3 linked regions of the Tribolium castaneum genome follow. The protein of the gene in region 1 interacts with the protein of each later gene in a biochemical or structural test. Links are inferred from orthologs where the notes say so. Each region holds a gene or a part of one and is shown in the gene's direction. Other genes may lie near its edges.

The links.
Region 2: the proteins of Ubc7 (region 1) and E3 ubiquitin-protein ligase MARCHF6 form a complex in vitro, tested with the Homo sapiens proteins (2 studies listed by BioGRID). The link is inferred for Tribolium castaneum from reciprocal best matches to the Homo sapiens genes UBE2G2 and MARCHF6.
Region 3: of the proteins of Ubc7 (region 1) and Uba1, one has a biochemical effect on the other in vitro, tested with the Homo sapiens proteins (5 studies listed by BioGRID, with this or other methods). The link is inferred for Tribolium castaneum from reciprocal best matches to the Homo sapiens genes UBE2G2 and UBA1.

The regions. Positions count from the first base shown.
Region 1 is NC_087394.1:30,806,819-30,809,733, reverse strand, and holds Ubc7 (ubiquitin-conjugating enzyme E2 G2), read left to right. Parts: upstream 1-1,294; 5' UTR 1,295-1,414; coding exon 1,415-1,457; intron 1,458-1,508; coding exon 1,509-1,590; intron 1,591-1,634; coding exon 1,635-1,753; intron 1,754-1,802; coding exon 1,803-1,943; intron 1,944-1,989; coding exon 1,990-2,108; 3' UTR 2,109-2,335; downstream 2,336-2,915. Other genes in the region: uncharacterized protein LOC662537, read right to left, coding at 2,603-2,870. UniProt on the Homo sapiens protein: Accepts ubiquitin from the E1 complex and catalyzes its covalent attachment to other proteins. In vitro catalyzes 'Lys-48'-linked polyubiquitination. Involved in endoplasmic reticulum-associated degradation (ERAD).
Region 2 is NC_087399.1:3,030,059-3,034,440, reverse strand, and holds the start of E3 ubiquitin-protein ligase MARCHF6, read left to right. Parts: upstream 1-1,505; 5' UTR 1,506-1,707; intron 1,708-2,908; 5' UTR 2,909-2,912; coding exon 2,913-4,382. Other genes in the region: elg1 (ATPase family AAA domain-containing protein 5), read right to left, coding at 1-1,168. UniProt on the Homo sapiens protein: Endoplasmic reticulum membrane-associated E3 ubiquitin ligase that plays a critical role in mitigating endoplasmic reticulum stress, the regulation of cholesterol and lipid homeostasis, and ferroptosis.
Region 3 is NC_087394.1:32,761,171-32,765,621, forward strand, and holds the end of Uba1 (ubiquitin-like modifier-activating enzyme 1), read left to right. Parts: intron 1-788; coding exon 789-1,490; intron 1,491-1,540; coding exon 1,541-1,740; intron 1,741-2,104; coding exon 2,105-2,887; intron 2,888-2,989; coding exon 2,990-3,766; 3' UTR 3,767-4,106; downstream 4,107-4,451. UniProt on the Homo sapiens protein: Catalyzes the first step in ubiquitin conjugation to mark cellular proteins for degradation through the ubiquitin-proteasome system.

The DNA.
Region 1 (2,915 bases):
GAACCGAGATAGCACTGCACATTTTTAAATCGGGAATCGAAGTACATGACGTAATAGTGCTTCAAAAGTTATGTAAGCATGCAAAATTTGAAGTTGCTACGATAACAGGAAGTGTCTCAAACTTATGTTCAAAATATTTATAATTTCGAAAGCCAATAAACAAAACAGGTTGAAAAAAAACTCTAATAAAAAATTTAGGCTTTTTTGTTGAAAGTCTTTATTTAATGCGATTTGTTTGGAACATATTTTACGAGTTAATTTTGGGGCACTTCCTGTTGTCGTAGCAACTTGAGATTTTACATGCACACGTAACTTTTGGAGCACAATTACGTCATGTACTTCGATTCCTGATTTAAAAATGTGCAGTGCTATCTCGGTTCCTGAGGGAGATACGGGAACGGGACCTATTCCATTCGATAGCCCAGGAAAAATACTACGGGGCGGTAGGGTTTTCAAAAGGACAGAACCACCCCTCTATCTCCAACAGAAACGAAGATATTTCGCATTTTGTAAATTGCAGATTTTCTTCAATTTTTATAAAAATTTTGATAATGAAATAAAATTTTAGTAAAATTCAGCAAAATTTTAAAAATGGATTTCGTATCAGGATCACAGGAACGCAAAAGGGTAATGAGAAATTATAAATAACTTAAAATACACGCAGATGTATAACTGGTTGCATGTAAACGCCGCTAAAAATTTCGTGGCCTCTTTGCGTTCCTATGATCCTGATACGAAATCCATTTTTAAAATTTTGCAGAATTTCACATAAATTTTCTAGCACTCACAAATTTTTTTATAAAAACTGAAGAAAATCTGAAATTCACAAAATGCGAAATATCTTCGTTCCTGTTAGAGATAGAGGGGCGGTGAAAACCCTACTGAGCCGTAGTATTTTTCCTGGGCTATCGAATGGGATAGGTCCCGTTCCCGTATCTCAATCAGGAACCGAGGTAGCACTGCACATTTTTTAATCGGGAATCGAAGTACATGACGTAATAGTGCTCCAAAAGTTATGTAAACATGTAAAATCTCAAGTTGCTAACATAACAGAAAGTGCCTCAAACTTAAACTTTAAAACGTCTTAAACTATTTTTTTTTAAATTGTAGGTAGTGACATTTGGGTGTCAAATCTTAAAGTACCTTTTATAGAGATCTATAAAACATTTAAAAATAATAAAATCTAAGGTAGTGACATCTAAGCAATGACTGCAAAACTACGCTCTTATAGTAACCTGTAAATTGTCAAAGTACCATCTACTGAGTCTGATCTATAGCTGTTCGATGGAGTTGGTGATTGCAGTGCACTTTTTTTTAAGAATTGACAAACGCTCACGTAAAATATTATAAAGAATAATTAAATTCATTCAATGCACATTTTTGGGTGCTCATATTGTTCAAATATTGATAAAAAATGGCAGGCTCAGCTCTAAGACGCCTTATGGCCGAGTACAAGCGTAAGATGCAAGCCTAACCTCAAACTATTTGCATTCGTTTTATGTTTCTAGAACTGACTCTGAACCCCCCAGAAGGTATCATTGCTGGTCCAATAAACGAAGAAAATTTCTTCGAGTGGGAAGCGTTGATAACGTAAGTTGTCTTTGTAGGGAAACTTTCATATGACGGGTTTTTAGTGGCCCTGAGGGGACATGTTTTGAGGGCGGTGTTTTCCCAGCTAAACTCATTTTCCCCCCGGACTATCCCTTAAGCCCTCCTAAAATGCAGTTCACCTGCGAAATGTTTCACCCTAATAGTAAGTATATTAGGGTTTTTGTAACAGGAGATGAATCAGCAGATTTTAGTTTATGCTGATGGGCGAGTATGTATTTCCATTTTGCACGCCCCTGGAGATGACCCTATGGGCTATGAGTCAAGTGCTGAGAGATGGTCTCCTGTACAGAGTGTTGAAAAAATTCTTCTCTCAGTTGTCAGCATGCTTGCAGGTACGTTTCTTCACAAAACAGTAACAAAATTCAACATGATTTTTAGAACCTAATGATGAGAGTGGAGCAAATGTTGATGCTGCGAAAATGTGGCGGGAAAATAGGGAGGAATTTAACAGAATAGCGGAGCGGATTGTAAGGCGAACGCTTGGGATTCCTACGTGAATTTTTACAAATTTTAACTGAGAGTTACGTCTGTTTGTTACAATTTTAATAATTTATGGGGATTAAAGTTTAGTTTTAAAGTTCAAGACTAAGGGCCTGGCTTGTTACCGCGCTAAAGTGAGAAAAAAATTTATTTCAATATATTATTTCTGAACAACAGTTAAACCATAAACTTAGTCTGTTAGGAACCTAAGCTATTGAAATAAATACAGCAGCATCCATTCACATCAGGAGTCTTAGTCTTGTCTAGCGCAAAACCCCGTTTTGTGACTAACATATTCACAACCTAATAAGAAATACGTTATTTTCTGGCTTAACTACTATCATGTGCGTTTGCTTCCTTATAAATAAGTTATTGGCTTAAAAACTACAGCTGACTTTCCAAGCATAACAATACTAAAATCACATTAAAACTTTGGTCTGAAAGTTAATTGCACAAATTTAACAAAACAACAAAATAAATAACTATAAATATGAAAAAGAAAGTGAAAACCTCAGGACTGCCGAGGATTTGTGTTATTCAAAACAATGTAATTGTTCAGAGGTATGTTGGAAACGATAGGTGCTTGGACTTCTTCTTCCTGATAATCGCGTCGTATCGCTGGAGTAGGGATTCTAGGAGGGACTTGTTCATTACTTGTATCTTCTACATCTATCAGATGCTCTGAATAATAATGCGGAGTGTTCAAGTAGTCGATCATTCTCCTCGGCAATGGAAGACTGGGGATCAGATCCCTGCGAACCACTTTGTGGATTGCAAATCTGCAAAAAATTCATGAGTAGAAAACATCCATGTATGTTTTAGTT
Region 2 (4,382 bases), on another chromosome or scaffold:
GCTTTAAATCAACTTTGGGTAAATCCCAGAAAATATTGTCGGATTTTTGCTGGACGTGACTTAACGACGGGAAAATATCAAAATCCGATTCTTCAGTACTAAAAATTCGCACCTTTTCCATCTCTTTTTTCAAAGAAGACGGAACACCACTCATCAAAAACTGTCTTCTTGCTTCCATTGCTTCCGGATCTAATTTTGGTTTTGGAACAGCTTTTAAGAAAACTGGTGCCACTTTTGTCTTCTTCTTCTTCTCATCGTCCGAATCAGAAAGTTGAAGAAAATCATCGTATTTTTTCGGTTTTCGGGATCGTAAAACTCTGCGTGAGGCATTTTCGTCGGAAACAGAGTTGGCTGGGTCCACGTCGAGTTCGATGACGTCAATGCCACTGTCACTAGACTGCGTATTGACAGGGGCATTTTCAACTATCACCACGTCTGCAACACTTCCTTGGGCATTTTCAACACTCTTTTGAGCATTTTCAACACTTCCTTGGGCATTTTCAACACTTCCTTGAGCATTTTCAACACTTCCTTGGGCATTTTCAACACTTTTTGGGGCATTGTCAACACTTTTTGGGGCATTGTCAACACTTTTTTGGGCATTTTCAACACTTCCTTGGGCATTTTCAACATTTCGTTGACTGTTGACAGACGAATTTTCAACATCACTCCTGTCATCCACGGCCAACTTGATCTTAAATTTCCACTTTTTGTTGGCAGTTGGTGTTTTTGGTGCCTCGTTCTCACTGTCACTTTCAATTACAACAGTTTTCCGCTTCTTCCTTTTAGTGACCACCTCATCGTCACTTTGACAATCAATATTTAGCAACTTTTTCAATCGTTTTCCCCGTTTCTCCAGCTTGTAACTGATGCAATTGCCGACTTCCTCGTACTCTCGTTTACGTTTGGCAGCCCCCTTGGCCTCCGCCCAGCTCTCAAACCGACTTTTCCTCTCCTTTAAGACACTTTTATCCGAGGCTGTTTCCGAGTCGTTTGCGTCAGGTTCACGCCCAGGGGAATTCCCCCCAATGCTCCGATGTCTTCGATTCATCATAAATTGAAACGCGTTGATTTTAGCCCCATTTGGGGAAGTTTCGGGGGTTTCTTCATTGGTGTGCTTGTTTTTCTTTGATTTTTTACCGGTCTTTATTGGAGTTGAATCTTTCATTGTTCCTAAATCATGTTTTGCTTCGATAACACACTAAAAACTGCACTAAAACACAATACAAAAAACTTGGCGCCAAATCAGCGCTTTGTTGACATTTTTTGTAGACTTTAAGGTTAGGTTTCTTGTGGCTAAGGTTACGTAACACGAAATTAAGTGTAATTCACAAACCAAGCCCCACAATTGATATTACGCGATTTGTGATCTTTACTGATACGAAACTGGGTTGTTTTAAGTCAAAATATCAGGGTAAAACCCCGCACAACTCATTATTTGTGTTAGTGACTGGTGGTTTTGTCAGGTTGGTCTTTTCCCGAACTAGCCAACAGTTGGCTTCCTGAGTGAAAGTAAACGTCAGTCTTGTGGTATTACGTCAAAAAATAAATTTTTTCGTCCTGAAAAGCCTCAAAACGCCTAAAAAATTGCAGTTTTTGTCGAATTTCGAGCATTTGTGATCACGCAACTATGGATCTTTGAGTCGGATCCGTAAATTACATAATGTTCTTCACATTCAAGTAGTTTCCTGTGCCAAAAAACATCAGGTAATTTTTTGTCCCAGCTTGTTTATTGTGTTGATTCTTATTAACTAATCAAAAAAAAATCAATTAGTGTGAGTTGTAATCCCTTGATAATAATTTCGTTTATCGGTGGATTGAAAATGTGGGCCATTCGAGGTCTCTGCCCCCAACACATGGCCTGCTAATTGCTAATTTACATAACTGCATCAATGGGGGCTCAATATACTTGAAAAATCCGTGTTTACGATTGGGGGAACTTTGATACGGCCAAGTGAATCATTGGAACAATTCCCAGATTTTTATGTTAAAAATAAATCCCTTGTGTCTGTCACACTACAGATAATGCGTTTTTTATCAGTTTTTGGGCATAATTAACTAACAACAAACGTTTTTTATTATTCTAATTGCAAAAGTAACCTTGAGATAAAATCAGTTGATTTGTGAACGCAAAAAATCGATTTGTTTTGCCGAAAAACAAATGAATAACGACAAAGTACAAAGTGGGAGGTTTGTTTTGTTTTCAATTCAATTGTTCTCATGGGTGTCGTCGCGTTTCGAACGTAGATAATGCAAATATTCAGTTTATTCCGGAATTGGACGATAAAGAAATCGACCAAGGACAGGGTCGGACTAATTAAAAATTGATTCAGTTCGATTGCATCACAATCATGGGAATGAGAAAATCGCAAGGAACGGTCAAGGTTAAGAGATACACAACTCAGTTTTTTCGAGAAATTCAATAATTTAAGTCTGTAAAAACATTCTGTCTCATTTGAGGGGTCTAGTTTCAGCTTTATGCTTTATTAAATTGTTATTAACTTTTCAGGAACGGAAAAAAACTTCATCTTTTGTAATTTATGCTTCTGTTTTGTTTGTTCTTTTTTTTCATATTATGGGGTGGCTCGTGCCTGATAGCAGGTCAAAAAAAAGAGTTGCCAGATTTAAACTTATTTACATCAGAAATGCTCCCAAAAAAAGAAGGGAAAAATAATGGACTTGCATAGAGGGAGAATCTAGTGGAGAGAGCATTAGCGGGAAACTCTGGTTTTTGCACAAACTTTTTCATGGCCACTTCCAAAACTTTCTGTTTAGTACAAATTTTGATCTAGTATAGTTAAAATATTAACCAAATATATTTGGAGAAAATACAGCTCCCCTCTGATTTTTTAGGAATGTTTTTTGATATTTGAGTTACTGTCTTTTTTTTTTTACTGTGTCTTTTCAGCGTAATGATGGACTCGGAACTGTCCAACACCGACATCTGCCGGGTGTGCCGTTCGGAAGGCTTGCCCGACCGCCCCCTGTTCCACCCCTGCATCTGCACGGGCAGCATAAAGTGGATCCATCAGGAATGCCTCATGCAATGGATGCGTTACTCGCGCAAAGAATACTGCGAATTGTGCAGTTATCGTTTCTCCTTCACTCCCATCTACTCCCCCGACATGCCACGCCGCCTCCCTGTGCGAGACCTCGCCGCCGGTCTCCTCTCCTCCATCGGAACCGCCATCAAATACTGGCTCCACTACACTCTAGTCGCCATCGCTTGGCTCGGAATCGTCCCTTTGACAGCCTGTCGGATCTACCGCGCCCTTTTCGCCGGCACTGTCGACGCCATCTTGACCCTTCCGTTTGAACTCCTCTCAATGGAAAACCTGGCATCGGACATTTTCCAAGGTTGCTTCGTCGTCACGTGCACGCTATTCGCATTCGCTGGGTTGGTGTGGCTGCGCGAGCAGATCTTACACGGGGGAGGACCCGATTGGTTACAGAGAGATAACGTGGGCGTGGCCGAAGATGCCCCACCTCCCGTCTTGAATAACAACATACCGGAAGACGTGGAGGAGAACAACGGACAGGAGCCAGAAGTAGCACCTCAAGGGGAGAATCAGGGGGAACAACAGGAGGAGAATGAAGTGAATGGAGGCGAAGACAACAATTGGATACCCATGGAGTGGGATAGAGCGGCCGAGGAGATAACATGGGAGCGTTTGTTGGGTCTTGATGGTTCTTTAATGTTCCTGGAACACGTTTTCTGGGTCATTTCGTTGAACACTTTGTTTATACTCATTTTTGCCTACTCCCCGTACCATATGGGTCTAATGACTCTTTCCCTTGTTAATATGAGGGAGGCGGCTTCGGCCAGTCATTTCGAAGGTTTATTGACCACTTTGGTCGGTTATTGCACTGTTGGTCTTTTCTTTGTGTTCTTCCATCGAGTCGCCGGTGTTTTGGGTTTTTACAAAGCTAAGCGCGTCCTAGGTTTGTGTTACGTGGTGGTTAAAGTATCGATGCTTTCGGTGGTTGAAATCGGAATTCTACCATTGGTTTGTGGCTGGTGGTTGGATATTTGCTCTTTGGCAATGTTTGACGCTTCGCTCAAAGACAGGGAGAGTAGTTTTAGTGCCGCTCCTGGTACTTCAATCTTCATCCATTGGTTGATCGGAATGGTCTATGTCTATTATTTCGCTTCGTTTGTTCTCCTCTTGCGTGAAATTCTAAGACCAGGAGTGTTGTGGTTCTTGCGCAACTTCAACGACCCTGATTTCAGTCCAATTCAAGAAATGATCCATTTACCTATCTTGGAACATATACGGAAATTGTTGATCTCGGCGGTTATCTTCGGTAGTGTTGTTCTTTTGATGTTGTGGCTCCCGATTCGAATTTTGAAAATCCTTCTTCCGTCTTTTCTCCCATATACA
Region 3 (4,451 bases), about 2.0 Mb from region 1:
TTGGATTATTAATGATCAAGAAAATTAATAGAGTAGTGAAGCAGCTTACTCGTAATACAGTTTTTATTTGATTATATTGGTTTCTGTTTTATTTCATTGCAAAAGCAGCTATTTAATGATCATTGTTGTAACGTCTATAAACAATGGGTTAATGAATTCGTACTATTTTTAGCTTTTCTACAATTGAAAAAAGATGAAATTTGCTCAAAGACCTCTAAAATTAAATTCTTTCAAATCACTAATTTTCTGTTTTTATTACATGTCATCAAAATACGTATAACAAAAAATGCAAATCAATGTTTTGTATAAAGAGTAGGTATTTGTCTACGCAATTCAAAATAACCATAATTGTGTAAATAAAGTGGTCTGCGTTATAAACATTTATTTTCGTCCTAAGCTAAAAACAAATCGGACATTGAGACAGATACCTTAAAAAAATAAAAGATTAGAAAAATGTTGCATCATTTTTTTAGCGCAATTCTGTCGTGAATCTCACTATCGAGAATTTCAATTGATTTTAGATACGTGTAAGGTAAAGGTCATGCGAAACAACGATGCCGTGTAACAAAACTTCTGTCCTTAATAAACATCGATTTAATGTAATGGATATTGTGGTTATAATTTCAATGCCTAAGTCAATACCACATCACATAAGTTTATTGTCGCCAAGTTGAAGATGTAAAATAAATTTAGTTTCCACTGCCATTAAATGTCATACTTTTATAATTTAATGGTCGAAATATGTTTGAAAATGGTGTTTTTTTCAATGATGTTTTTTTTTCTCAAAGGCATTGTGACCTGCATTGACGACACCCGCCATGGCATGGAAGACGGCGACCACGTCACATTTTCCGAAGTCCAAGGAATGACCGAACTGAACAATTGCAAGCCGATTAAAATCAAAGTGTTAGGCCCTTACACGTTCAGCATCGGCGATACGACCAACTTTTCGAAATACGAGCGTGGCGGTATTGCCACTCAAGTGAAAATGCCCAAAACCTTGTCGTTTAAATCACTCAAAGACTCGCTAAAATCGCCCGAATTTTTGATGACCGATTTCGCGAAATTCGATCATCCACAGCAGCTCCACGTGGCTTTTCAAGCGTTGCACAAATACGTCGAAAAGCACGGCCGTGTACCAAAACCGTGGAACAACGAAGACGCATCCGAATTTCTGTCCATTGCTAAATCTTTGGCCGTGGACGGCGGAAACGATACCGAAGTGAACACTAACTTGTTAGAAACGTTTGCGAAAGTGTGCGCGGGTGATTTGAATCCGATTAATGCGACTATCGGTGGTATCGTGGCGCAGGAAGTTATGAAAGCTTGTTCGGGGAAATTTCACCCGATTTATCAGTGGTTGTATTTCGATGCGATTGAATGTTTGCCCACGGAAGCTGGGGAAATTACCGAAGAGTCGGCGGCACCGAAAGGCACACGCTATGATGGACAAATTGCGGTCTTCGGAAGCGAATTCCAGAAGAAATTAGGTGCGTTTTTGTAATTTCTTGGCGAAAAGTTGCTAATTTATTTTTTGCAGGCGGTTTGAAATATTTCGTAGTAGGTGCTGGAGCGATCGGTTGCGAATTACTTAAAAATTTCGCTATGATGGGAATTGGTGGTGAAGGTGGACAAATCACCGTCACTGATATGGATCTTATTGAAAAATCTAATCTCAATCGACAGTTTTTGTTCAGACCACATGATGTTCAGCGTCCCAAATCTGGAACGGCAGCAAAGGTAAAATCATCTTATTGAAACAATTCCGAATTTAATGGTAAAAAACGATAAAAATGGACCGCACAGATGCGTAAACATTCAATTTCAAAGATTTTAAATAACGCGGTCAATTATCTTCGCTAGAGGTTTGTACTAGGTGAGACCATAACAGGCCAACTAAAATTCTCGGCAGTTTTAAATACTGTGATAAGCTGGTTTAATACGTAAAATTATCCGCAGAATTCACTGGAACAAACTGTTTGTCTCTACCACTTTTAGTTTTTAAGTTATTAAATTTTTAATGAGTAACCCGGCGCATCCACCATTTTTGAAGATGAAATTTAAAAATGTCTTTAAATAAAAAAAATCTTTATTTTTGCTACAGGTGATCAAGAAAATGAACCCGAGCATAAACATAGTCGCCCATGAAAATCGCGTGGGCCCCGAGTCTGAAAACATGTACGATGACACTTTCTTCGAGTCGTTAGACGGCGTAGCTAACGCTTTAGATAACGTTGACGCTCGTATCTACATGGACCGTCGATGTGTCTATTACCGAAAACCTCTACTAGAATCCGGAACCTTGGGTACAAAAGGCAACACCCAGGTCGTAGTGCCTTTCCTCACCGAATCCTACAGTTCGTCACAGGACCCTCCCGAGAAGAGCATCCCGATTTGTACCCTTAAAAATTTCCCCAACGCCATCGAACACACTCTCCAATGGGCTCGTGATAATTTCGAAGGCCTTTTCAGACAGAGTGCTGAAAACGCATCGCAATATCTCACCGATCCTGAATTTTTGGAACGTACTATTAAATTACCAGGAGTTCAACCGATTGAAGTGCTGGAATCGGTCAAGGCAGCTTTAGTTGATGATAGGCCAAAGAGTTTTGAAGACTGTGTAGTGTGGGCCCGCCATCATTGGGAGGAACAATATTCAAATCAGATCAAACAACTGCTTTTTAATTTCCCGCCGGATCAAAAAACCAGCACTGGACAGTTGTTCTGGTCGGGACCGAAGAGGTGTCCCGAACCACTCACATTCGATGTGAACAATACCTTGCATTTGGATTATGTTTTTGCAGCGGCTAATTTGAAAGCCGAGGTTTATGGAATACCGCAGAATAGGGATCGGGCTTACATCGCCGAAGTGGTGCAAAAAATTCACGTAAGCCAGCCACTTTAAGCTTTAAAGAAATAAATATGATTTTTTTTTATTAATATCCAATTAGACAATGTTTTATAATATTCTTATGATAATTAATTGCAGGTACCAGAGTTCGTCCCGAAATCTGGCGTCAAGATCGCCGTCACCGATTCGCAGATGGCAATGACGAACGGTTCAAGCGTCGACTTGGACCGCGTTGGCCAAATCAGAGAGGAATTACCTTCGGTCGCCGAACTGGGCAATCTTTGCCTCACTCCACTTGATTTCGAAAAGGACGACGACACAAACCTCCACATGGATTTCATAGTAGCGGCTTCGAATCTCCGAGCCGCCAACTACAAAATCCCTCCAGCCGATCGTCACAAATCCAAGCTGATCGCCGGCAAAATCATCCCAGCTATAGCGACAACAACCTCAGTCGTCGCCGGCCTCGTCTGTCTCGAGCTTTACAAATTAACGAGAAGTTTGAAATCGTTGACGCCGTTCAAGAACGGTTTCGTCAACTTGGCTCTGCCGTTCTTCGGGTTTTCGGAGCCCATTGCCGCCCCCAAGAACGAGTATTGCGGGAAGGAGTGGACGTTGTGGGACCGGTTTGAGGTGGATGGGGAGATGACTCTGAGCGAGTTTTTGGAGTACTTTAAAGAGAAGCACGGCTTGGAGATCACGATGTTGTCGCAGGGCGTGTGCATGCTGTACTCGTTCTTTATGGCCAAAGCGAAGGCGCAGGAACGCCTGGGGTTGCCCATGTCCGAGATTGTGAAGCGAGTGTCGAAGAAGAAGCTCGAACCGCACGTCAAGGCGCTAGTGTTTGAACTGTGTTGTAACGACGCTGACGGAAACGATGTCGAAGTTCCGTATGTTAAGTATAATCTACCTTGAATGGTTGCGTGTTGGCTGCATTCGTATTAGGGCATTTAATGACAGTTATTAGGTGTGCACTAAATTGAACTATTCTGGGTATTTGTCAAATTGTGATCTTGTAAATTATTTATATTTTTTGCAAGCATAACTAGAACACGTGTTCGGTAGGAATTTGTTATTACTTGCCCAGTGATTCTCACTTGATTTTCTATTATTTGTGTTATGGCGAGTGAATTCAATGAGCTAATGCAATATAATCGTACGTATGCTGATACTGGATACATTGTAGGTTCAGGATAGTGTTTATTTTCTTAAATATTTTGATGTGTGAAATTTAATAAATATGTTTTGAACATTACGAGCTCTCCTTATTTCTCCTTTTTTGTACAAAATTATAAATTAAAACTTACTGCAACTGCGTTGGAGTTGGTCATCCTGTATTTTAATTAAATTTCCTGCCATATGGCAGAAGGACGCTGCAAAATTGACCACCAGAAAGCGCAAAAGCCTCAACCTTAATCGTATGTGCAAATTATGCCAGGAAATACGAAATAAATCTTAAAAATCAGGATTTTTTAAACGCTCAAGGTCATTAAAGAGGCAGTGCACTCCGCACAGTTGGTATCCCTACACGCACTTGACGAAATGGTGGTGTATTTATTTTTGTTTTGTGAAATTAAACAATATAATATTTCGTGAAATT